2 linked regions of the Ovis aries genome follow. The protein of the gene in region 2 binds, or shares a complex with, the protein of the main gene of each other region. Links are inferred from orthologs where the notes say so. Each region holds a gene or a part of one and is shown on either strand. Other genes may lie near its edges. The genes, in order: SUFU and GLI1.

The links.
Region 1: the proteins of GLI1 (region 2) and SUFU are in contact, whole or in part, in a crystal structure (PDB 4KMD), measured with the Homo sapiens proteins. The link is inferred for Ovis aries from reciprocal best matches to the Homo sapiens genes GLI1 and SUFU. Residues at the interface, in NP_005260.1 of Homo sapiens: Gly119, Ser120, Tyr121, Gly122, His123, Leu124, Ser125, Ile126, Gly127; in NP_057253.2 of Homo sapiens: Leu144, Tyr147, Asn153, Thr154, Phe155, Gly158, Asp159, His160, Val161, Ser162, Trp163, His164, Gln212, Asn265, Leu266, Ser267, Gly268, Val269, Ser270, Ala271, Glu376, Leu380, Lys398.

What each region holds. Positions count from the first base shown.
Region 1 is NC_056075.1:22,875,854-22,887,022, forward strand, and holds the start of SUFU (suppressor of fused homolog), read left to right. Parts: upstream 1-4,488; 5' UTR 4,489-4,676; coding exon 4,677-4,858; intron 4,859-9,541; coding exon 9,542-9,676; intron 9,677-11,169. Other genes in the region: ACTR1A (alpha-centractin), read right to left, coding at 1,351-1,398. UniProt on the Homo sapiens protein: Negative regulator in the hedgehog/smoothened signaling pathway. Down-regulates GLI1-mediated transactivation of target genes. Down-regulates GLI2-mediated transactivation of target genes. Part of a corepressor complex that acts on DNA-bound GLI1.
Region 2 is NC_056056.1:162,167,676-162,178,044, forward strand, and holds the end of GLI1 (zinc finger protein GLI1), read right to left. Parts: intron 10,019-10,369; 5' UTR 9,970-10,018; coding exon 9,870-9,969; intron 9,663-9,869; coding exon 9,570-9,662; exon of another isoform or gene 9,369-9,569; coding exon of another isoform or gene 9,305-9,368; coding exon 9,109-9,304; intron 8,855-9,108; coding exon 8,710-8,854; intron 8,376-8,709; coding exon 8,286-8,375; intron 8,197-8,285; coding exon 8,059-8,196; intron 7,744-8,058; coding exon 7,594-7,743; intron 6,860-7,593; coding exon 6,695-6,859; intron 6,203-6,694; coding exon 5,972-6,202; intron 5,445-5,971; coding exon 5,177-5,444; intron 4,796-5,176; coding exon 3,054-4,795; 3' UTR 2,861-3,053; downstream 1-2,860. Other genes in the region: ARHGAP9 (rho GTPase-activating protein 9), read left to right, coding at 27-134, 471-569, 708-785, 929-982, 1,235-1,369, 1,727-1,832, 2,422-2,593. UniProt on the Homo sapiens protein: Acts as a transcriptional activator. Binds to the DNA consensus sequence 5'-GACCACCCA-3'. Regulates the transcription of specific genes during normal development.

The sequences.
Region 1 (11,169 bases), on a different chromosome or scaffold from region 2:
TCAATCTCAAATTGAATCTTGGCTCTTCAATTCATAAGCCAGGTGGTTTGAATACTGTTATTTAACCTTTCACGTTTCATTTTTCTGGATATTTAGAGTCCTATCTACCTATCAGTGTTGAAGCTTGAATAAGATGATGCAAACTAAAGGACCTTGCAAGTGCCAACGGTCCCAAGGACTGAATCAAGAAACCGAATCTGAGTCAGCTTAGAGCGAATTGGCAGTTCTGCCTTAGTAGAGGGACTCAGAGGGGACTAGAAAGGTAGCAACCAATCTCCATTGGACTAAACCTTTGAATGGAAGACAGTCACTTTTTAAATAACTGCCTCCTTCCGCCAGAAATAAGAGCTATATTTAGATTCTTTCGATTTGTGACTATTGATACATTTGCGTAGGTACTATCAGGATGAATAACGGATAAAGCACAGGATTAAAGTGCGACCTTGGGCTCACTTTACATTTTTGCGCTTCAGTTTTCTCATTTGTAAAACGAGGATCAAAATTCCTGCCTTAACTATTCACGTTGTGAAGATCCAACTGGAATGTATGCGAACCCCTCCGTTGTAAGCGCTGGAGCGCCTGGCAAGTATTATATTTAGTAATTTTTACCCTCAGCAACTAGGCGTTTCAAAGAGGAAGGTACCTCCCTGCTTGCTTTGTCATTCTCCTTTCTTCTCGACCTTTATTAACGGTATAATTTATAATCACAGAAGTAACTGAAATCCTCAGGCCATTTCTGGCATCACACTCTCAGACCCCACCCAGATACACCGCCAAGCCGCCCTACCGGCTGGGACCGAAGGAAACTTAGCCCTGCTCCACCCGCCGCCCTAGCCCGTCTGCCCCCTCCACTGGGAGTCCCCGAAACCAATCACAACAGCCCTCGTGCACCGCACCGCCCTTTGAAAGAGGAAACACTATGGCGGCCCGGAAGAACGGCAAGGGAACGAGCCAATCATTGCAGAAGGCTGCCCCCATCCGGCAAGGCCCAGAGGCGGGGTCAGCGGTCAAGATGGACAGCCAGAGCAGCCAATAGAGTTATCGAAAACTGGGGAGGGGCGGGTGCCGGGGGCTCACAGAGCGGTTAAGGACCCTTGAGTCAAGGGCCCAAGGACCCTGCTAGGACTATAACCCTTCCCTTTATCCATCCCAAGGTTCTCCTTCTCATGGCTGCTGGCCAGCTGGTCGCCCTATCTGCGGACTTCGGTTCGAGGGAGGAGAGAGGCGGCGGCGGCTGAACCCGCCTGACAGGCCGGGCCAGTGACAAAGAACCGGCAGCCCAGACTGAAACACGGGAAGCGATCCCTTCGGGGAGGAGAGCATAAGCCCTGCTAGGGGGATGCAACTCACGTTGTCGATCACGACAGGCTGGTTGGCGATTACATCGTAGGACTCCATGGCAGAAGAACCTCTCCTTCCGAGGAAGGAACTGCCAGCCCGGTCCGCCGCTAACGCCACTGACACGCATGCGCAGTCTAGCCGCCGGCACTGGGCAGCCGGGGAGCGGCCCGACCTCACTTTCGAAGAACTACAATACCCAACATGCCTTGCACCTGAATTAGCGAGCCAGGCTGCTTTGGAACCCCGCCTAGTTTAAGGAACGGAGCGTCGCGTTTCGACGCACAGTACGCTGGGCTTTGTAGTTTCTGTAGGTAAATGGAAGGGTACGCCTATTGATGGTTGCAATCTCGCGTCTGGATCTGTAGACCCTTTGAAGGGATTCTCAGTCCAAGCTGAAGTATGTAGTCTTCAATATTGTCTGTAGTTCGGTTTGGATTGATTAGTAACTCGTGAATGTTTGGATTTTACAGGCTAGTCCTTCCACTTGCCACTACTTCCCCTGGACAATATGAGGTTGCAATGTTTTTATATGGGTCTATAAGGCATTAATAAACATCTACCACCTGTATGCAGGTCAGAAAGCAACTGTTAGAACTGGGCATGGAACAACAGACTGGTTCCAAATAGGAAAAGGAGTACGTCAAGGCTGTATATTGTCATGCTGCTTATTTAATTTATATGCTGAGTACATCATGAGAAACGCTGGGCTGGAAGAAACACAAGCTGGAATCAAGATTGCCGGGAGAAATATCAATAACCTCAGATATGCAGATGACACCACCCTTATTGCAGAAGGTGAAGAGGAACTAAAAGCCTCTTGATGAACGTAAAAGAGGAGAGTGAAAAAGTTGGCTTAAAGCTCAACATTCAGAAAACGAAGATCATGGCATCCAGTCCCATCACTTCATGGGAAATAGATGGGAAACAGTGGAAACAGTGTCAGACTTTATTTTGGGGGGCTCCCAAATCACTGCAGATGGTGATTGCAGCCATGAAATTAAAAGATGCTTCTTCCTTGGAAGGAAAGTTATGACCAACCTAGATAGTATATTCAAAAGCAGAGAGATTACTTTGCCAACAAAGGTCCATCTAGTCAAGGCTATGGTTTTTCCAGTGGTCATGTATGGATGTGAGAGTTGGACTGTGAAGAAAGCTGAGCGCCGAAGAATTGATGCTTTTGAACTGTGGTGTTGGAGAAGACTCTTGAGAGCCCCTTGGACTGCAAGGAGATCCAACCTGTCCATCCTAAAGGAGATCAGTCCTGGGTGTTCATTGTAGGACTGATTTTGAAGCTGAAGCTCCAATAATATTTTGGCCACCTGATGCTAAGGGCTGACTCATTTGAAAAGACCCTGATGCTGGGAGGGATTGAGGGCAGGAGACGGGGACAACAGAGGATGAGATCATTGGATGGCATCACCAACTCACTGGACATGGGTTTGGGTGGAATCCAGGGGTTGGTGATGGACAGGGAGGCCTGGCGTGCTGCGGTTCATGGGGTCATAAAGAGTGGGACACGACTGAGTGGCTGAACTGAACTGAACTCAACCACCTTCTTAGTCTAATAAAAGGAAATTTTAGTATACATACAGCTGAGGAACATATTCCTAGAACAAAGGAAAGTATATTGCATAAGGCTTGCTTTTTTTGAAAAAAAAAAAAAAAAGGTATATTTTTGTTCAGTTCAGTTCAGCTCAGTCGTGTCCGACTCTTTGCGACCCCATGGATTGCAGCACGCCAGGCTTCCCTGTCCATCAGCAACTCCTGGAGCTTACTCAAACTCATGTCCATTAAGTCAGTGATGCCTCCAAACATCTCATCCTTTGTCGTCCCCTTCTCCTCCCACCTTCAATCTTTCCCAGCATCAGGGTCTTTCCCAATGAGTCAGTTCTTCCCATCAGGTGGCCAAAGTACTGGAAATAATCAACAAAATATTTTTGGTTGATTTTCTCATGTTTTTCCTGGAAAGGTGTAAACCTGGCAACATACTAGTATTGGTCTGAAGACTGACATTTGGAACTACTGGTACAGATGATCTTTTGGTCATTAAAACATCCTTCATCTAATAGCTTCATAACTGTTGTCTCTCTCTGTCTCTCTTTAGTCGCTAAGTCATGTCTGACTCTTTGTGATCCCATGGATTTGTAGCCTGCTAGGATCCTCTGTCCATGGGGTTCTCCAGGCAAGAATACTCGAGTGGGTTGCCATTTTCTTCGCCATAGGATCTTCCCGACCCAGGGATCGAACCCAGGTCTCCTGCACTGCAGGCAGATTTTTACCGACTGAGCTGCGAGGGAAGCCCAGGAACTGCTCTAGTATATCTTTAATTTTCATGGGGAGCTAGAAATCCTAGGGACGGGGGAACCTGGTGGGCTGCCGTCTATGGGGTCGCACAGAGTCGGACACGACTGAAGCAACTTAGCAGCAGTGGCAGCAGCAGAAATGACACTGATGAATGAGAAAATGGAATTGAGAGATTATGTGTTACTGCTTTCTAAGGAGCCCAGTGCATTTTTCTCTAATAAATTATTTCCTCTTTTCCTTCATGTTGTGGGGATCTTTAGTTAATAGCCAGTAGTCAGGACTTTCCGCCAGTAGTCAGGACTTTCCGCCAGTAGTCAGGATTCTCTTCTATCCTTTTCTCTTGAAATTTCAAGATTATTGAGTGGAAGACATTACTATAAGTAAAGTTATTGCAGGCAGGAAAATAATTTCCAACCCGGTGCCTTAGAAACTAAAAAATCCCGTTTTTAATGCTACATGGACGAAGGAAGCAATCCATTGTAGCAATCCATTGTTACATTTATGTTTAAATCCTTCTGAAATAAATAAATTAAATAAATCCTTCTGAGCATCGTATTAGCATAACAGTGACATGCTTTTTGTCGGCGCACTTCCCAAAGCTTTCTTGGGTCCCTAGCACCTCAGAGGATGTCCCAATATCTCTATTTAATCCTGGGCTCCTCCTAACGCTAGGGGGAAGCGAAGAGCCTTGGAACACCCCCACAACTCTGGGAGAGAGAGGGAGGCGGGACCTATTGTCAAGTCACGCCTTCCCTACCTGTGACTGGCACAGACATTGGCCAATGGAACCGGAATAGGGCGCGCCGGCACCCCGCCCCCTGAGCGCCCCGCGGCCCCCGAGGCACCCTCTGGCCGTCTCCACCGCGGCGACGGCCTGGGCGGACAGTGCGCCTTGCGCAGGCGCGGAGCCTAGACCTCGCTGCAGCCCCCATCGCCTCCGGGAGTCGCACCCAAGGAGTTCGCCTGCTGGCGCGTCAGTGCTCTCCCCCTCGTCTGCCCTCCCCGGTCCCCCCAGCACCCTACGCGCCCCGATGGCGGAGTTGCGGCCTAGCGGCGCCCCCGGCCCCACCGCGCCCCCGGCCCCTGGCCCTACTGCCCCTCCGGCCTTCGCGTCGCTCTTCCCCCCAGGACTGCACGCCATCTACGGAGAGTGCCGCCGCCTGTACCCAGACCAGCCGAACCCGCTCCAGGTTACCGCTATCGTCAAGTACTGGTACGTCTTGGGCCGCGCGGAGACCGACAGGGGCGGGCTGAGAAGGGTTAAAGCGCCAGGAGCGAAGTAATTTGCCAGGGAATTGGAGGGGAAAGGAGAGTGGTTAAAGCACTTGGAAGAGGGCTTCCTGCTGTGAGGGAAGAAGTTAAGGCTCAAGTTAGGAATGGGGACAAAGGGGTTAACGAAGCCTGCGGGTAGCGAAGGGTTAGCAAGGGAGGGGAGGATGAAGGGTTAACTGGCATTAGAAGAATGGAGTGAATTGGGGGTGTTGGTAGAAGCTGAGGGGGCGACGGTCGGAGAGAGGGAACTGTAAACGTGGTGAAAGGAGGGGGCGCCTGGAGGGGGTCTAAGTGGGCGCGTGGAAGCCGAAGGGGGGCGGCTGAAGTGAGATGGGGGAGGCGAGGCGGGGCCTGAGGAGCATCTGAGAAGGCTTTGGAGCCGCGCGGCCGGAGGAGCTCCGAGCTCGGAGGGCACGGGACTGCACAGGGTAGGGGCGGGTGTGGGTCTGTGGGTTAGGATGTGAGCGTTGAGCTTGTGAGGGGATGAGGGGGAGGTCTCATTTTGATACCTTCCGGATGAGCTCAGACATTCATATCAGTGCAGTGCTTTTGCGTTTGAAGTTTGATGGAGCAGCTTCTCCCGATCAACTTTCTGCTTACTCTGCACAGTTCTCTTACTCCATGCAGAGCTTCCTCTGGCTCCGCGGCTGCTTTGGTCTAGGTCACTGGCTAGAACAGGGGCAGGCTGGGTCAGGGAGATCCATGGTTTGGCTCAGGATTGAAGGAGGCTGCTGTTAACGACGAAGATCCGGAACTTGGACACGGGAGGATCCTTCAGTGAGATATTAAGAGTAACTTTGTGGGCTGGAGCGCCCAGATGTAGGCAACAGTTCCTCAGGGGAGCTGAGAGTAATCCCTAAGTAACTCTGTTAAGATCAGACCTATGTACACATGGACTGCCCCTGGGGAAGGAATGGTCTTTTCTCGTTTCCCATTCTTTTTGTAACCTGTTTCTTCGTGCCACCTCTGTTATGGGGACTCTTCTTCATGGTCTTGCTGAACTAAAAGTTGACTAAGAAACTAGTTGAATCTGTACAAAACCACTTTCATGCAGGCACTGTATTAGATGAACTCCTTCATTGGCTCCTAAAAGACTGTTCAAGGCAGGCACTTGGGGTGTGACCAAAGGGGAGGTACCCCCGAAGGGGGAATGAGTAGAGTGGATGTCTTTACTGGTTACCTTCCTTTAGGGCTGAGTCTTTTCCCTCCCTGGCAACCACTTACTTCTTCTGGAGATTGCAGGAGCTGGGCTGCCTAGGGCGGAGGCCAGCTCCCTATGTCTGTGGGAGGCTGTGGAGAGGCTGACAGTGTGAAGGGCCTGGGGAGCAACCACCTGCTCCGTGGGGAGAGCGGCAGGAGCAGCCTGCCTCTGTCTGGTAGCCAGAAGGAGGTGTGGCCTGCAGCACAGTTTTCTCTGGCAGGCACGGTGTTCTTTGGTTGAGAGGAGTTTTTGAAGAGGTCTTCTGAGTAAAAAGCAGCTCTTGATAACTTAATCACTCATTTTAAACTTTTTATTTATTTTCATCTACAAATTATGGCAATTTTATTTCATTTTTATCATTTTTTTTACCATTTACTTCTTTTTCTTGACTTATTGCTATCTGGTATAATTTCCTTTCAGTACATAAACTTTTTATTTTAAATTGGTATATAGCCGATTAACAATGTTTGTGATAGTGTCAGGTGAATGGTGAAGGGACTCAGCCTTACATACACATATAGCCATTCTCCTCCGAATTCCTCTCCTCTCCAGACTGCCACATAACATTGAGCAGAGTTCCATGTGCTATACAGTAGGTCTTTGTTGGTTTGTACCACTATATTTAAATATGTACAGTGATGGACTCTATTGGCATACTTCGTGAGAAAAAGGGGACCTGCCTCTGGCATGCTGTTTGTTCAGGCCTTGTTTGAGTATAAGGAGAAATCCCCTCTCAGACTTGGGCCACTGTTATTATGTCACCCAAGTGGACATGAAGGATAGAGTTGTAAAAGGTGTTGAACACGGGCTCCCCTGGCGGTCCAGGGGTTAAGACTCTGTGCTTCCACTGCAAGGGGTATGGGTTCGATTCCTGGTTGGGGGAGTTCCACAAACCATGAGGTGTGGCAAAAAAGAAAAAGATATTGAACACATGCAAAGGACTAAGATTAGTTTGGGAATCTGCTTTTTCCTCCATCTCCCTGTGAACCTTTTTTCCCATGTTGCTGCAAGTTTGTTAACCAAGTCAGGACTTATCTTAAAAGATGGGCCAGCATCTAATGATGAATAAAAACGATTGTATAGCACTTTGTGAAATTAGAAATGCTGCCTGGATACAGAAATAAATGAGAAGAAACAGCCCAGGGACTGGTTCTTTCTAAAATTCAGAAGGGGTTGCATAATTAAGTCCTGAAAGTGGTTCACTGATAAACCTTCACATTTAGGATCCTATAAGCCCTCTTCAGTGTTCATAGCAGGATGACTGACTGAGGCTGCCTCAGTTTGGCTGTGGCCCAGGGTATTGAGATTCTTTTTTCTTGTGACAGAAGGATGACTTTCTTGACTAGCCAACTGGGACATCATGGCTGAAAGCTGAGGCTTTACTGGTCAGGGAGCTGAAGTAGAGCTAGTGCCCTGGGTCACTCTGGCAACTTCCCTGTGAAGTCAGGTGTTCAGGGACTTACACTGAGGGATGATCTGGGTCCTGGGATAACATCTTTTTCTAAGTGCAAAATATGATGATTTTCCACGTACTCATCTGCTTCCTATCAGGTCTCCGAGTGAGTAGAACAGAACACTATGTACTTAGAGAAAAGGCTAATTTTGTTTGACTCTCGGTCCTTTTCTGCAGATGGAGTTTTGAGGTAAAGCCTCTCTCTTAGATGAAATGCCCTTTGGGAGACTTGGCCAGGGCTGTCAGGGATGTGGTAGATGGGGAGCACAGAAGAGTGGACACAGTTTTGCCCCTTGTTGCTGGAGGGACCTAGGCTGAAGGCTGGGCAGGACTGGGACTCGGCAGCAGGGAGACTAGAGCAGATATGGAGCCTGTAATCATTCCCACCTGTTCCAGGGCTCTGCCGTTATCATGAGGTCCTTGCAGGGGTAACCACCCTTTCTTTCTTCTTTTCCCCAACAAACTTCTCTAAATCCAAATGATTATAGAATTAGTCAAATGGTTTACCCACTCACTCCAGTATTTGTGCCTGGAGAACTCCATGGACAGAGGAGCCTGGTAGGCTACATTTCATGGGGTTGCATAGAGTCAGAGATGACTGAGTGACTAACTTGGCAAAAGCAGAGTTAAGGAAAGACATGGAGATTTATCTCTTTTCCTAATCCACTCCGTTGAGATTCTAAGCTATTTGTAGCGACTTTCTTGCAAGTCCTATAAATAACTTAGCATTTCCCAGCAGAGAATAAGGACTTCTGCAAAGGCAAATAATGTCCTGGCAAAAGAGGGTGAAACCAAACCTACTGGTTTTAAATAGTGTTTGCATCGTGTGGTACTGGCATGTTTGCTGGGATAACATACGTGTAATCTTTTATTTGGTTGGTTGTGTTCTTTCAGCATATAATCCCCAATGCCAAGTGTACCCCATCCTTGTCCCAGGGTCAAGCAAAGTTTTTGCAGTCTGTGGAACCGTCCGATGTCCAAGGCAGCTCAAGTACAGGGTTTGGGGGCTAAATGCAGACTTCCTTGTGCTAATGGTTTCCATTTAGTCTGTCTCTCGAGTCTACCACGTTTCCATCTCCATTCTGAAGAAAAGCAGGATTCTTTTAAAAAGATCACTAATTACTCTGCTAAAGGGACCCTTCTTGAATTAAATCCTCAGAGTGAGCTAATGACTGATCTCTTCCTCAGTTGCCTCTCTGTTGGAATTATGGGGAAGTCTAATGTGGTCCTCAGAGGCCCTGAATCATTTAATGTTCCAGCTCTACCTTTCAGGCAGCCATCTCCCGGGATCATCTTGCAGTTGCAAGACCTCACAGGGCTCAGCCGGGCTCCTGCTGCAGTTCTCTGTGCAGAGCTAAGCTAGCCTAAGTTTGGCCTTTGTCACTTGCATGATAAAAGACCAGCTTTGGTCTGGGGTGTTCAGGCTGGGATCTGGAGGCATTGGGTCTGTTTAGAACAAACTATAATTAACATAGGGCACAATATGGTCTTTCAGGAATTAGCTGTCTAAGAGGCAGGAGTGGGGCCGAGCCTCTGCTTCCAGTAACAATGCCCATTGGAGATGCTCAGGATGGTCTTTCAACAGAGGCACATTGATTGACTGATGCACTTCTTGCCTTGAAGCTTGGCGTGTTTTCAGGCACCGTGGAAGAGAGATAATCCCTGCCAATCCCACTTGGGGTTGGTAACTTGAAACAGAAGGAAGTCAAAGGGAGCAATCAGTCTGTTTTATTTCTAAAAGAGGTTCTACCTGAGATAGGAGAAGGGAGCCTCTTGTGCTTGTGTAGCTGGGCTACCTCCAGCTGGCCATCCTTTGGTCTTATCCTAGAGAGGTATGGCCCTCCCTTTAGTTCTCTTTTACCCCAGATTCGTCCAGGATGGGGCCTATAGGTTTGTAAGGCAGAGCCCTTTAGCTTCACATTGTCTGCTTTAAGGTTTATGCTGACATCCCTGTGTTTTGTCTTTTGCAGGTTGGGTGGCCCAGACCCCTTGGACTATGTTAGCATGTACAGGAATGTGGGGAGCCCCTCTGCCAACATCCCTGAGCACTGGCACTACATCAGCTTTGGCCTGAGCGATCTCTATGGTGACAACAGAGTCCATGAGTAAGTGTGTACTCTTGCCTTCTATCTCCCTCTTCCCTAGCCTTGAGCCTTATTTCTGAGTTTTGTTTTGCCAAAAGTGTTACTTTCATTTTAGGTTTGAGGGATTCATTAACAAAAGAACCACTCATTACATACAAATAAATGATTTCAACTTTTAATAGATTAACTTAATTTCAATATACAGTCACTAGAAGGAAAAGAAATAGAAACAATAGAGAGAAGTAACAGCGTGTACATCACCAAATTGAGCCGACACCTACATCCAGAGTTGAACAGTGCTGGGAAGTCCCGAATGATAGCAATCTGGAGTCCCAGTTGGGAAAGGGTACCGAGCAGTGCATCCACCCCACAGGTGAGACTTCATATTGCACTTCTGGGGGCTCCTGCTTATAATCCCAGGCCGTAAACTGATATCATCGTCAGTTTGGGTGCAAAAAGGCAGCTCTGATTTAATTTTTACAGTGGGGTTTGTTTCACCTTGTGAGTCACAAGACTTCTTAGACCCCAGGGGTCTGCTAGGCCTTTAGGGGCTTACGAGATCCAAGACCCACTCCCTTTCTTACCTAAAGTGCCGCCTGACTGACTGTGCCTGTCGCTTGGATCCTGGGCAGTGTCCATGCAGGTCAGAAGCAGGTCAGAGGTCTGCCCTCCTGCTTCCGAAGCCTGCACAAGACTTCCTCTATTTTGATTTCCCTAGCCAAGTTTTCCTGAGCAGAGAGGATCACGTCATCGTCCCTTGAGTTTGGCATTTCTCACGTGGAACATCTGGGTTTCTGCCCTCTGCCTGTAGCCACTTGTGCCGATGTGGTCCAGATCAGGACCTGAGCTGTACTCATCTGGTGCAGGAAAGTGTCGATGAGAGAGAATTCCAAAACTGTTAGGTTTCTCCAAGCTTGTTGTGATGTTTGAGCTCAGAGTACAGGCAGCATAGCTGTGACCCAAAAGCTGAGTTGATTCCTCTAGGTCTACTTCCTTTTCCCCCCTCTGCCGCTGCTAAATCACTTCAGTCGTGTCTGACTCTGTGCGACCCCATAGACGGCAGCCTACCAGGCTCCCTCGTCCCTGGGATTCTCCAGACAAGAACACTGGAGTGGGTTGCCATTTCCTTCTCCATTTGCCCCCTCTAGATTATTATAAAAATTTTAAAAGAAGCAAAGTTGAAAGAGTTTTACAGTGAACAATCAATCATATACCGCTCCCTGGATTTTACCATTAATATTTTATTCTACTTGCTGTATCATGAATATGTACATCTCTGTTTCTCTGTGGATGTTACCTACTTCCTTTTTACCTCTAGTTATCTGTGCTCAGATCAGCTGCAGTACATTTTTTATCCTAGTCTATCTTCCGTTTGCTGCCCTGTGATACTTCTCAATCCTACCTGCCTCCCCTACTTCCCTTTCTAATCACTGATTTTAAATACATTTTAATATTAAGTTAAACATTGTCAGCTGAAAAAATAGCAGCAACAAAATAATAAAACCTAACAGTTG
Region 2 (10,369 bases):
CTCTCACGCTGCACTTGGTGCCGCAGGTCGGTGTCCCGAAACAGCGGAGCAGAACCGTGTGCGGAACAAACTAAAGCGGCTAATCGCCAAGAGACCGCCCTTGCAAACCCTGCAGGAGCGGGGTCTGCTCCGAGGTGAGGGGGGCTGGACCGCCTGGGACCCTTCCCCTTCGTTCGTGCCTGCTTTAGTGTTTCTGCAAGCACTTTTATTTACATTCTGGATCTGGGCATCAGCTTGTCCTGGATGAGAAAACTTCAGCGAGGCTCAGGGTAGAGCTTCCCAGAACTAGATCAGCGGTCTTCTGAGACCAATACTTCCCCTCGGCTTGCTGATTGTTGCGGGGAGGGGGTGTACTTCCTTGCTCAGGCAGGCAGGAGAGCCAGCCCAGCTTTGGGATGAAGACCTGTGCTGGAAAGAGCCCGCATGGGTGACACAGTCACTGGCTTCCATCTCATTCTGTGTCTCCCCAGACCAGGTGTTTGGCTGCCAGTTGGAGTCACTGTGCCAGCGGGAGGGAGACACCGTGCCCAGCTTTGTGCGGCTCTGCATTGCTGCTGTGGACAAGAGAGGTCACTTTCCCAGAGTCTCCTCCTTCTAACTGGCCAAAGTCCCACCTCCCCCACCCTTGTGTGCCCTTTGTTTCTCCACCCTCACCAGCACACATTTTAGATCAAGAATCTTTATCTGCTTCCTGCCTCATCTCCCAGGTCTGGATGTGGATGGCATTTACCGGGTGAGCGGGAACTTGGCAGTGGTCCAGAAGCTTCGCTTCTTGGTGGACAGAGGTGAGAAGGCTGTGGGCAGGTGGTGGTACTAAGAACTTCATGTCTCAGAACCCAAAGGTCCGAGTGAGAGAGCTGGCAGAACCGGGGAGGTCTTCTAGCTGGAGCTACATGTCTTAGCTCTTGATTTCTTTTACTTGTTGTAGAGCGGGCCATCACTTCCGATGGGAGGTACATGTTTCCAGAACATCCAGGACAAGGTACTTCCATGGAAGGCCCCTCCAACCTTTAAAAGTCTTCCATACCATCCCTGCTCCCTGTGGACTCCCCCATGTCCTGGTCCTGGGGTGGGGGGTTGTTCTCATCCCGATCTCTGCCCCACTGTGGACCCCCCTAGGTGCTCCATGGTCTGTCTTCACTGGATCTTTCCCTAAACTCCTGATCTCTTAGTCTCTGGGTCCCTGTAACCCTTCTTGAGCCCTGAGCCCTTCTGTACCTCCTTTTCCTTCCAGAAGGCCGATTAGATTTGGACAGTGCTGAATGGGATGACATTCATGTGATCACAGGAGCCCTGAAACTTTTTCTGAGGGAGCTACCCCAGCCTCTGGTGCCCTCACTACTGCTGCCTGATTTTCGTGCTGCCGTTGGTAAAGGATGGGAGCTTTGGGCAATAGCCTTGACACGGGATGGAGGGCGGGGGGGAGGCATGAGTGATAAAAGAGTAGAGTAGAGGTTTCCTTCCACTCCTCTGTCCCAGCCTGAATACAGAGATGGAAATTAATTTTCAATTAATGTGCCCACTCCAGTTGTGTATGTGTGAGTGTTTAAGAGGGCTGAGTTAAAAAAGAATTCTAAGATTGTAATTGGACTCAGTGAAAAAGAAAGCCATGATCGATTAATGATGTCTTCCCCAAGCACCAGAAAGGATACTGAGGTTACCCACTCTGCCTTAACACCTTTCCTAACCTCACTCCCATGCCCTTCCTGTCACTCTTTCTCTCCAGCCCTCACTGAATCAGAACAGTGCCTCTCTCAAATACAAGAATTAATAAGCTCAATGCCAAAGCCCAACCATGACACTCTGCGGTACCTCCTGGAGCATTTATGCAGGTCAGGAAGACTGAATATCTTTGTTCACGTCAGGGGAGGGTGGGGTGGGGCCTGCAGCCGGGACTCTGTGTTCAGATGGGGTGAAGGCAGGGAAACACCGAAAGTTAGTGGGTCATTGAGGAAATAGGCACTCTGTGCCGAGGATCGAAAACCTTTTTTGCTCAGTCAGAATCAAATGAGGAACTAGGGAACAAGACAAGTCTAGGGATGATGCGAGAGAAATAAGGAAAAATCTAACCTTCCCTCTGCCTTTGTCTTTCACTGGGACAGTGGGGATGACATTTGGCAGAGCTGGGCAGTGACCTCTGAGAGAGGATAGCCATCTGAATGAAAACCTCCCAGATGATGAGCAGAGAGGACTCTAGGGGCAGTCTCTGAAGTCGGGAAGAGGCGGGTATATCCTAGGTTGCGTCCTGAAGGTTTCTCCGCTGGTCTCAGTTCTGTCCCCCTGGTTCTTTCCTTGGTTTTCTTCAGCTACTGCATGGAAGGCCCCCAAAGTGGATTCGTCCTCAAACCTTTGATGGGTTAGATTTATTTGAACTGGCAAAGCTGCTATACTATGGTCCCGTCTCTTGGCCTTTACCCACAGGGTGATAGCACACTCAGACAAGAACCGCATGACCCCCCACAACCTGGGAATTGTGTTTGGACCAACCCTATTTCGGCCGGAGCAGGAGACATCGGATCCAGTGGCCCATGTCCTCTACCCTGGGCAGGTCGTCCAGCTGATGCTCACCAACTTCACCAGAGTCTTTCCCTGACTGGGGCAAAGAAGAGAAAACGTATTTCCAGCGATCTCTGTGGGGTAGCCTTTGGTGGGGGCGAGGGAGGGGGTGGTTCTGTTTTGAGGACATCCCTTTAAATCCTGTCTCCCGGATGGCCGTCTCCACCTTCGTGAGTCTGAGCTGAGGGCCTGGGTTAGGATGAGGAAACTTCTCTAAAGAGGGAGGTGGCTGGATTAGCCCCTGCTTCTCTAGCTTCTGGCCATCACCCCTCCCCCAAGATAGTCACAGTATAAAGCAGGGCTCTTTCTGATGCAGTTCCTTTATTATCAGGAAACGGTGTCATTATCAAATTCCTCCCCAAATATATTTAGACTGTGTATAGCCCCAGCCCACCCCCCCATCCCTGGGGCATCCCAGGGGGCTATGGCTCCTCCTCCGGACTTCCTCATGGGGATGGAAACCCCTCAGGAAATGTGGATCTGTGGTCCCCCACTCCTTAAGCACTAGAATTGAGGAACTGTGTCTCCCCAGGCAGGGATCCCAGTAACACACTCATGTTGCCCACAGCCATGTTGGGGGTCCCAGAGGGAGGTGGGGTGTGTTCAGAGCTGTCCCTCTGATCGTGAGAAGGGGGAGGACTCAGCCCCTGGGCCTCATCCAGAATAGCCACAAAGTCCAGCTGTGTGTTGTCAAGATCAAGAGAATCCAGAGGGTTACATACCTGCCCTTCAGGAGGAGGGTACAAGGCAGGGCCCCCTCCCAGCCTGCCCACCTCAGGATGGCCACAGCTGGGATTGGTGCCCCCTGCCTTGAGGGGCCCATAGCAAGCTGGTAGTGGGGGTAGAAGTCGGGGTGGTGCTGCTGCCCTGTGGGAAGCTTTGTTGGCCCCTACTGCAAAATTTTCATGGCATGAAGGGGTAGGATAGGCGCCCGGCTTGTGATTGGGCATATTAGGTGCAAAGCCAGGTCCATATGTGGCCACTGGGGCCTTGGCAGGGCTTGAGCTGACCTGGGAACCCCCCAGAAACTTGGGACTCTGATAGAGAGGTTCTTGGACTGGGGGGTCTCCCCTGCCCCCACCCTCCCACAGCAGCTCCTGTTGAGACTGAACATAATTACACACAAGCTGCGCCTTGAGGTGTCCTGTAGAATGAGTGGGGGACTCGAAATCCAGGCCCGGCCTGGCTTCTGAAGGCAGATAATCAGGAGGTGGCTGGGTATAGGAACCTGACTGGGGATACTGGGGAGGGGGAGGCTGTGGGTAGTGGGAGAACAGAGGCTGTGAGCGTGGAGGCCCCTCATTGGGGTGGGCATTGAGGCAGGGTGCCAGTCCTGTGGTGTCAGAACCCACGGGGCACCCCTGTTCTGGCTTCACTTGCACTTGTCCATAATGTTCAAGACGAGGACACTGGCTGTAGGCTCCAGCTGGAGCCTTGGGGCCTGAGTAGAGCCCAGAGTGGGACGGGAACTCACTCCATGTTTCTGGGGTTGGTTCAGAATAGGGAACCTGCGGGGGACAGGGGCTGGGGCCATAGTTGGTGGGTGGGCCAGGCCCAAGAGGCAGGGAACCGGGCCCTCTAGCTCCATAAGGCTCAGCTGCTGCCGCCTCAGGCCCTCCATATCCCAGAGTATCGGCAGGTGGGAAGTCCATATAGGGGTTCAGACCACTGCCCATCATGGAGGTCCCAACCTCTGGCTCCTCCCGTAGCCCTCTGGTATCCATGGAGACATTCTCAGTGATGCTGGGGGGCTGTGGTGAGTAGACAGAGGTTGGGAGTTGGGGATCGAAGTTCTGTCCTCCTCCTACCACTGTAGGGGGGCTGTGGACACAGCCCAAACTCTTGAACCGCTGGACTCTGGCTGGGGCAGGGCGGTCAACCGACCGGGCTGGGTCACTGGCCCTCCGGGTGACCCCTACATTGGGGTTGTATCCTGGATACTCAGCTCGGCTTCTCCAGGGAGGTGCAGGAAGAGCCCCCGTCCGATCCAGGCTGGGTGCTGCAGTGGGAGGGGTACCACCTCCCCTGGCTGAAGCATATCTGGCCCGGAGCAGGTAGTGCTGGGCAGGCGTGAGGCCAGGCAGGGAGGATGCCCCATTCTCTGGTGGGGAACCAGGGGGGAAAGGGGAGGCAAGGGAGGAGCGGCGGCTGACAGTATAGGCTGAGCTGACACTGCTGGAGCTGCTGCTGCGGTGGTCAAGAGAGACCGGGGGGCCCAGACGGCGAGAGCCAGGAGTGCCTGTAAGAAAAGACAGGCTGGCCAGGGAGCCCTCTGAATTTCACCCTGCCTCTCCCAAGGGGAAGCCTTGTCCAGAATTCCAGGGAAGGCTCCTTAACTCTAGCCACTCAGTTCTCTCCCCTCCTTCTCCCACTCCCTTTTTGCTTCTGGGTCATCAGACATTCAGGGTCGCTGTGAACAGTCCTACAGATTGTACACTGCACAATCAAAGGGGACAGCATTCAAAAGACAACAATTTTCTGATAGAAGGAAGGAAAGTATCTCGAGGAAAGGAGACCTTTTTCTAATTGTGCAGCAGCCCTGAAAGGTGAAGTCTCCCTCCCAGTCTCAGAGAAGGGCCAGATCTCAGCCCTGCAACCATGCCCCACACCCATCACTCACCGGCATGGCTCAAGCTGGGCAGTTTGAGGCCCCGGGGCCCCATCGGCCGGAACTGATGTAGCTGGTCCAGCCTGAGGTTCTCAAGGCGGCGAAGAGTAGACAGCCCAGTTCCCGCAAGGCAAGGCCCCTCGTCCAAGCTGGACAGGTCCTCCGTGCTGCCCCCTGCGTTTCCAGTCATTTCCACACCACTGTCTGTATTGGCTGCACTGCCTGCTGGGGAGTGGTCACTGCTGCAGGACGACTGGGCCCCAGGGCTCGGCTGTGGCTTCTGTGGGGAAAAGCAGGGCTGAAGGCGGCGCCCATCCTCCTTCCCCACAGCTCCTTGAACTTGGTGAGTGACTAGAGCCCGTGTCCCAGTGACTGCTTACAGGTGTAGAGAGGGCTGATCCAGTGAAAGACACGGGTGAACTGGGGGAAAGTTCCTAGAAAAGAACCTAGACTACCTCAGCTCCAATTTGTCCTCTGTAACCTTGGACAATTTCTCTGAGTTTCTTCATCTGAAAATGACAAGAGTAAGTTCCCTTCTCATGAAGTTGTTTTGAGGCGTACCTGAAATTATACTGGTAGAAGGCCTCAAATTATACACTAATTTCTATATGAGCTGGTTGGACCCAGGCACTAATGAATTACAGTAAAATCCCTAGATTTGAGGTAGCCTAAGGAGCAACACTCAGATAAGGGACTGGGGACCAGCCACAGAAGAGAGATGAGCATAGAAGGAGATGGACCAGTTGGAAGGGGCTAGAAAGATGTCGGCAGGGCAGGCAGAGGTATGGAGGCAGGGCATTGCCTCACCATGGCACCCTCCGGCACAGTCAGTCTGCTCTCCTCCCTAATGGGGCCTCCATCCCGCTCCCTCTTGGGCTCCACTGAGGAAAGAGCCGGTGCCCGGGGCAGGGGGCCGTCTCCTCGGTGCCGCTTGGTCACGTGGGCATCAGGACCGTGTACTGTCTTGACATGTTTCCTGAGCGAGCTGGGATCTGTGTAGCGTTTGGTGCAGCCAGGGAGCTTACACACGTAGGGCTTCTGTTGAGTGGAGAGTGAAGACAGCAGGCAAAAGAATCAAACCGGGACAATGCCAGGAAATGGGAAAAAGTGGTGGCGTTAAGTGAAGACAAGGGGACTCGGAGGAACGCATAGCACCCAAGGAAGGAAGGAGAGTAGGGCCCTTGGAGTAAAGGATGAACGGATCAAGGGGAAGATTAGGAAAACGGATAGGCCTGGGAAAGGGGAGGGAATGAACCCAGGGCTGCAAGGCCTCATAAATTCAGGGGGTTGAAGGTACCCTAGTTAGAATGGGTCTATTTTAGCTTAGCCCTTTGACTGGTTAGAGGTGGGGGAGGGATAGTAAGTGGAAATTCTTGGTTTCAGAAAGACAATCTCTGGGTGAATTATGCAGGTGGAGGGGAACTCACCTCTGTGAAGTGGGTGCTGAGCTAAGGGGTTTCTTATGGGGGAAGCTCCCAAGTAGGTGGCGTCTGTAAGTGGGGAGGAGGGTCTCCTGAGTGGGGCATTCACCTCATTGGAGTGGGTCCGATTCTGATGCTTGGCTCGGTCACTGGCATTGCTGAAGGCTTTACTGCAGCCCTCGTGCTCACACATGTATGGCTTCTCACCAGTGTGTGACCGCAGGTGTGTCTTCAGATTTTCCAGGCGTGAGTATGACTTCCGGCACCCCTCAAACTAGGGGATATGGGGTCAAAGGATGGCTCTCAGACAGAAGGACATGGAGATTAGCGGAACCCTGAATCTCAAAAGGGACATACATCAGAGAATATAATTCAAGCGTGGGACTTCCCTAGTCGTCCGGACACTAAGACTCTGTGCTTCTGATGCAGGGGACTTGAGTACAATCCCTGGTTGGGGAACTGAGATCCCACATGCTATGCAGTGCAGGGGAGGACGGGAGAGATGGGAGAGTGCTGGGACTATAGAATTCCCAAAATTCAGGGACAATGGTAGGCAAAAGCGGAGGGGACAGAAGTAGCTGGAGGCACTCTGCCTGCAGGGATGTGGAGATGAGGCAGTGAGCGCTCTGGATCAAGTCAGAGCACATCTCCCTGCCTGGGGAGCCCAGACTGTGTTAAGATGGGGTCATCCTGGTGTGTGTCCTCAGTCCAGGGCTTCTCCATTAACCCAAGTTGTGAGCACAGTGCCTAGGTCCACTGTACTGTCTGGTGCCCACAAAAGTGTTTTAATTTCTTTTAAAAAAACAAGGGGGAAAAGAAATTAGAAAGTATTCTAACATGTAACGTCAATACGTTCATCTTTATACCAATGCGGTCTATATAACACAATTTTTAAATGTTTGTTTGTGGAGGAAGGGACCTGTGATGGCAAAAGTCAGATTGGCCCCTGCCTTTGTGGGGAGCCTTGATTTAGGAAGGGACCCTGAGCTTGGGGAGGGGGTGCCTCACCGTGCACTTATGTGGCTTCTCGCCCGTGTGTCTGCGCATGTGCACCACCAGCATGTACTGGGCTTTGAAGGGCCTCAGCTCCCTGGAGCAGCCCCCCCAATGGCACACGAACTCCTTCCGCTCTCCATGGATGTGCTCACTGTTGATGTGCTGAGGGAGAAGATGCAGAGGCTCTCCGAGGTTCCCTATGCCCCTGAGATCCAGAACAGACCTTCTCTTGACCTCCCCACCCCACCATATCCCTCCATGACTTCCTGTCATGGGGAAAGAAAAGGCAGGAAGAAGATCAGAGCCCACATCTCCGTTCCTCCCCGTTTCTAAACAAAGCTACAGCTCCTCTGAGTTTCTGCCTACCCACTGGATATTCCATCTTTGACCCCCTGCCCTTAGCCTGACTCCACCATGTCCCACCCAGAATGCCCTACAGGCTCCAGCCAGCATTCCTGTTACCCCCCCAGGGCTCACATGCACCAGCTGCTCCTGGGAGTCAAATTCCTGACTGCAGCCATCCCAGCGACAGTCAGTCTCATACACAGAGTCAGGCTCAGGCTTCTCTTCTCTCTCTAGGTCCTCCCGCCCATCCAGCATCCCCAGCAGTGGATCCTAGGGTAGGAGAGAAAACCCTAGGGTCACCTGGTGACAGCTTTTGTTTCGTTCAGGTTCCAGAAGTAAAGCTCCCCACTCCCCATTACCTGTGTGCTCGTGGAGTTGGGACTGGACATATCACCTTCCAAGGGCTCCTCCGGGCACTTGTTAACCAGCACACCCAGCTCAGACTTCAGCTTTCCCAAAGGAAGGTGAGGATGATGAAGACAGAAGTGGGAGGAGGAAAAGGGACCCCAGCCAAGTCTTCCAGCCCTGAGTGTCCCACCCTAGCAGCTGCAACCCCTGAGTTTGACTTCCTCCTTAGACTGCACTGGTGAATGGGGTGAGAGAAAGGTGGGATCTCACTTGGAAGAGACTGACAGAACCTCAAGGAGTCAACCCCCGGCATCCATATTCCTTTATTTTTCTGGCACTGAAAACTTTGACATCCTCTATTCTTTCGCCTTTCCTCTAAAAGAAAAAGCCCACCACCCATCCACCCTGAACTGAGGGAAATCAGGTGATTCTCACCTGGCAAGTTGGGAGGGGTCCCTGGGACTGAGGATGTGGCATCATCCCACCCTGCGTGGGGTCATGGGGACCACAGGGCTGGACCCCAAAAGAAGGCGAGGTCCCTTTCTGGTGGTTCATCTGGGGTGAGAATCCCAGAGATGGGCTGTGGAGGAGGAGGAGAGGCAATCATTTAGGACTGTCGTCTCAGAAAGCCTCAGGAGTTCCTGGGCTCTTTGGAAGGTTTCTGGAAGACAGTATGGGAAACAGTGGAGACAGCCCAGGGAAAGTATTGAAGAGGACTTCCACACCTTTGAAATGATAAGGATTCAAAGAGGATCAGGTGGTTTGGAAGGCTTTGAGGTTTCTAATGGGGTTTGGCAGGGTCTTAGGGGCCTCTTAGCTCAAGGCTGTCTGCACCTCATGGTGCCGATGGAGAGGTGACCATAGGAACCCCCAGGAGATGCACAGCGTGAGTTGATGAAGGCCACGAGGGAGCTGGGCGAGGTGCGGATAACTGTCTGCAGGTCCAGGCTGGCGTCTGACAGAGGGGAGATGGAGAGTGCCCGCTTCTTGGTCAATTTGACTGCACTCCGGGGAGGAGGAAACAGTGGCGCTGGGGCAGGAAACAGGGGAGGTAGATACGATAAAGGAGTAGGCCCCTCATGCATCCAACCCATGAGGACTGACTCTCAGCAAAAAGAAACAACACTAGACTCTACCCTGTTGACCTCATCTGTGACCTTCTGATCATGCTCTGACTCCTTAATCCCATCTCTAGGCATTTCCTTTTCCAAGGTAGATCCCCTGCCCTCCAACACTCTCCCTCAGGACAAATCCCAAAGGGGCAGAAAGGAAAGACAGGTTGCCTGAGGCCTCACCCTCTGCGCAGCTGTTGGCTTCTCTGGCTGGCCCATAACTGTGGGGGCCGGGCATGAGGGTGGCCTGATGGCAGAAGGGCAGGCCTGGCAGTCCTAGGAAAGAGATACAGCTGGGATGGGGCATGGGAATGAAGGGCACATACAGTCCATCTTGAAACTCCAAGTAAGGCCCAGTCCCATATGGCATAGGACCTCAATTCTTTTTGTATATGGGAAACGAATGGGATAGAAGAGGGACCCCTGGGGCTGGGTGAGAGATCTGCCAGTAGTCAAAGTCCAGGGACTGGTGTATGTACTGACCTTCTGTCCCCATACTGGGGGCCCCCTGACTGGGGAGGGGCCGGAGACAACAGGGCTCGCCATAGCTACTGACTGGTGGTGGGGTCATCGAGTTGAACATGGTGTCTCAGAGGAGAGTGTGGGGGTCACTGCAGGAGGGGAAGGGAGACCTGCAAGTTACAAAGGCAGGAGGGAAATATGGAAGGTCAGATAAGTCACTCAGGCCCAGAACCCTGGGCAGATTACCTCCGAGACATCTGCCATGGAAAATCAAGTTGAAAGGAGCATCGCTCAGCTAGGGGAGGTTATGGAGAGAAGTCCCATAGAGACAGAGGCAGTCCTGGGGATCTTTTTAGGACTCCTTTTTAGGGAGGAGCTCTGCCTGGATGGAGTGTTTGTGTGAGTGTGTGTGTGTTGGGGGAGTGTTGTGGACCAAAATTGTGACTAGGAGCTTCAAGTGCTTTTTATACCATGGGTCCTGTTCTGACCATGGGGCCAGCCTTCAGGGATGGGATGGGGGG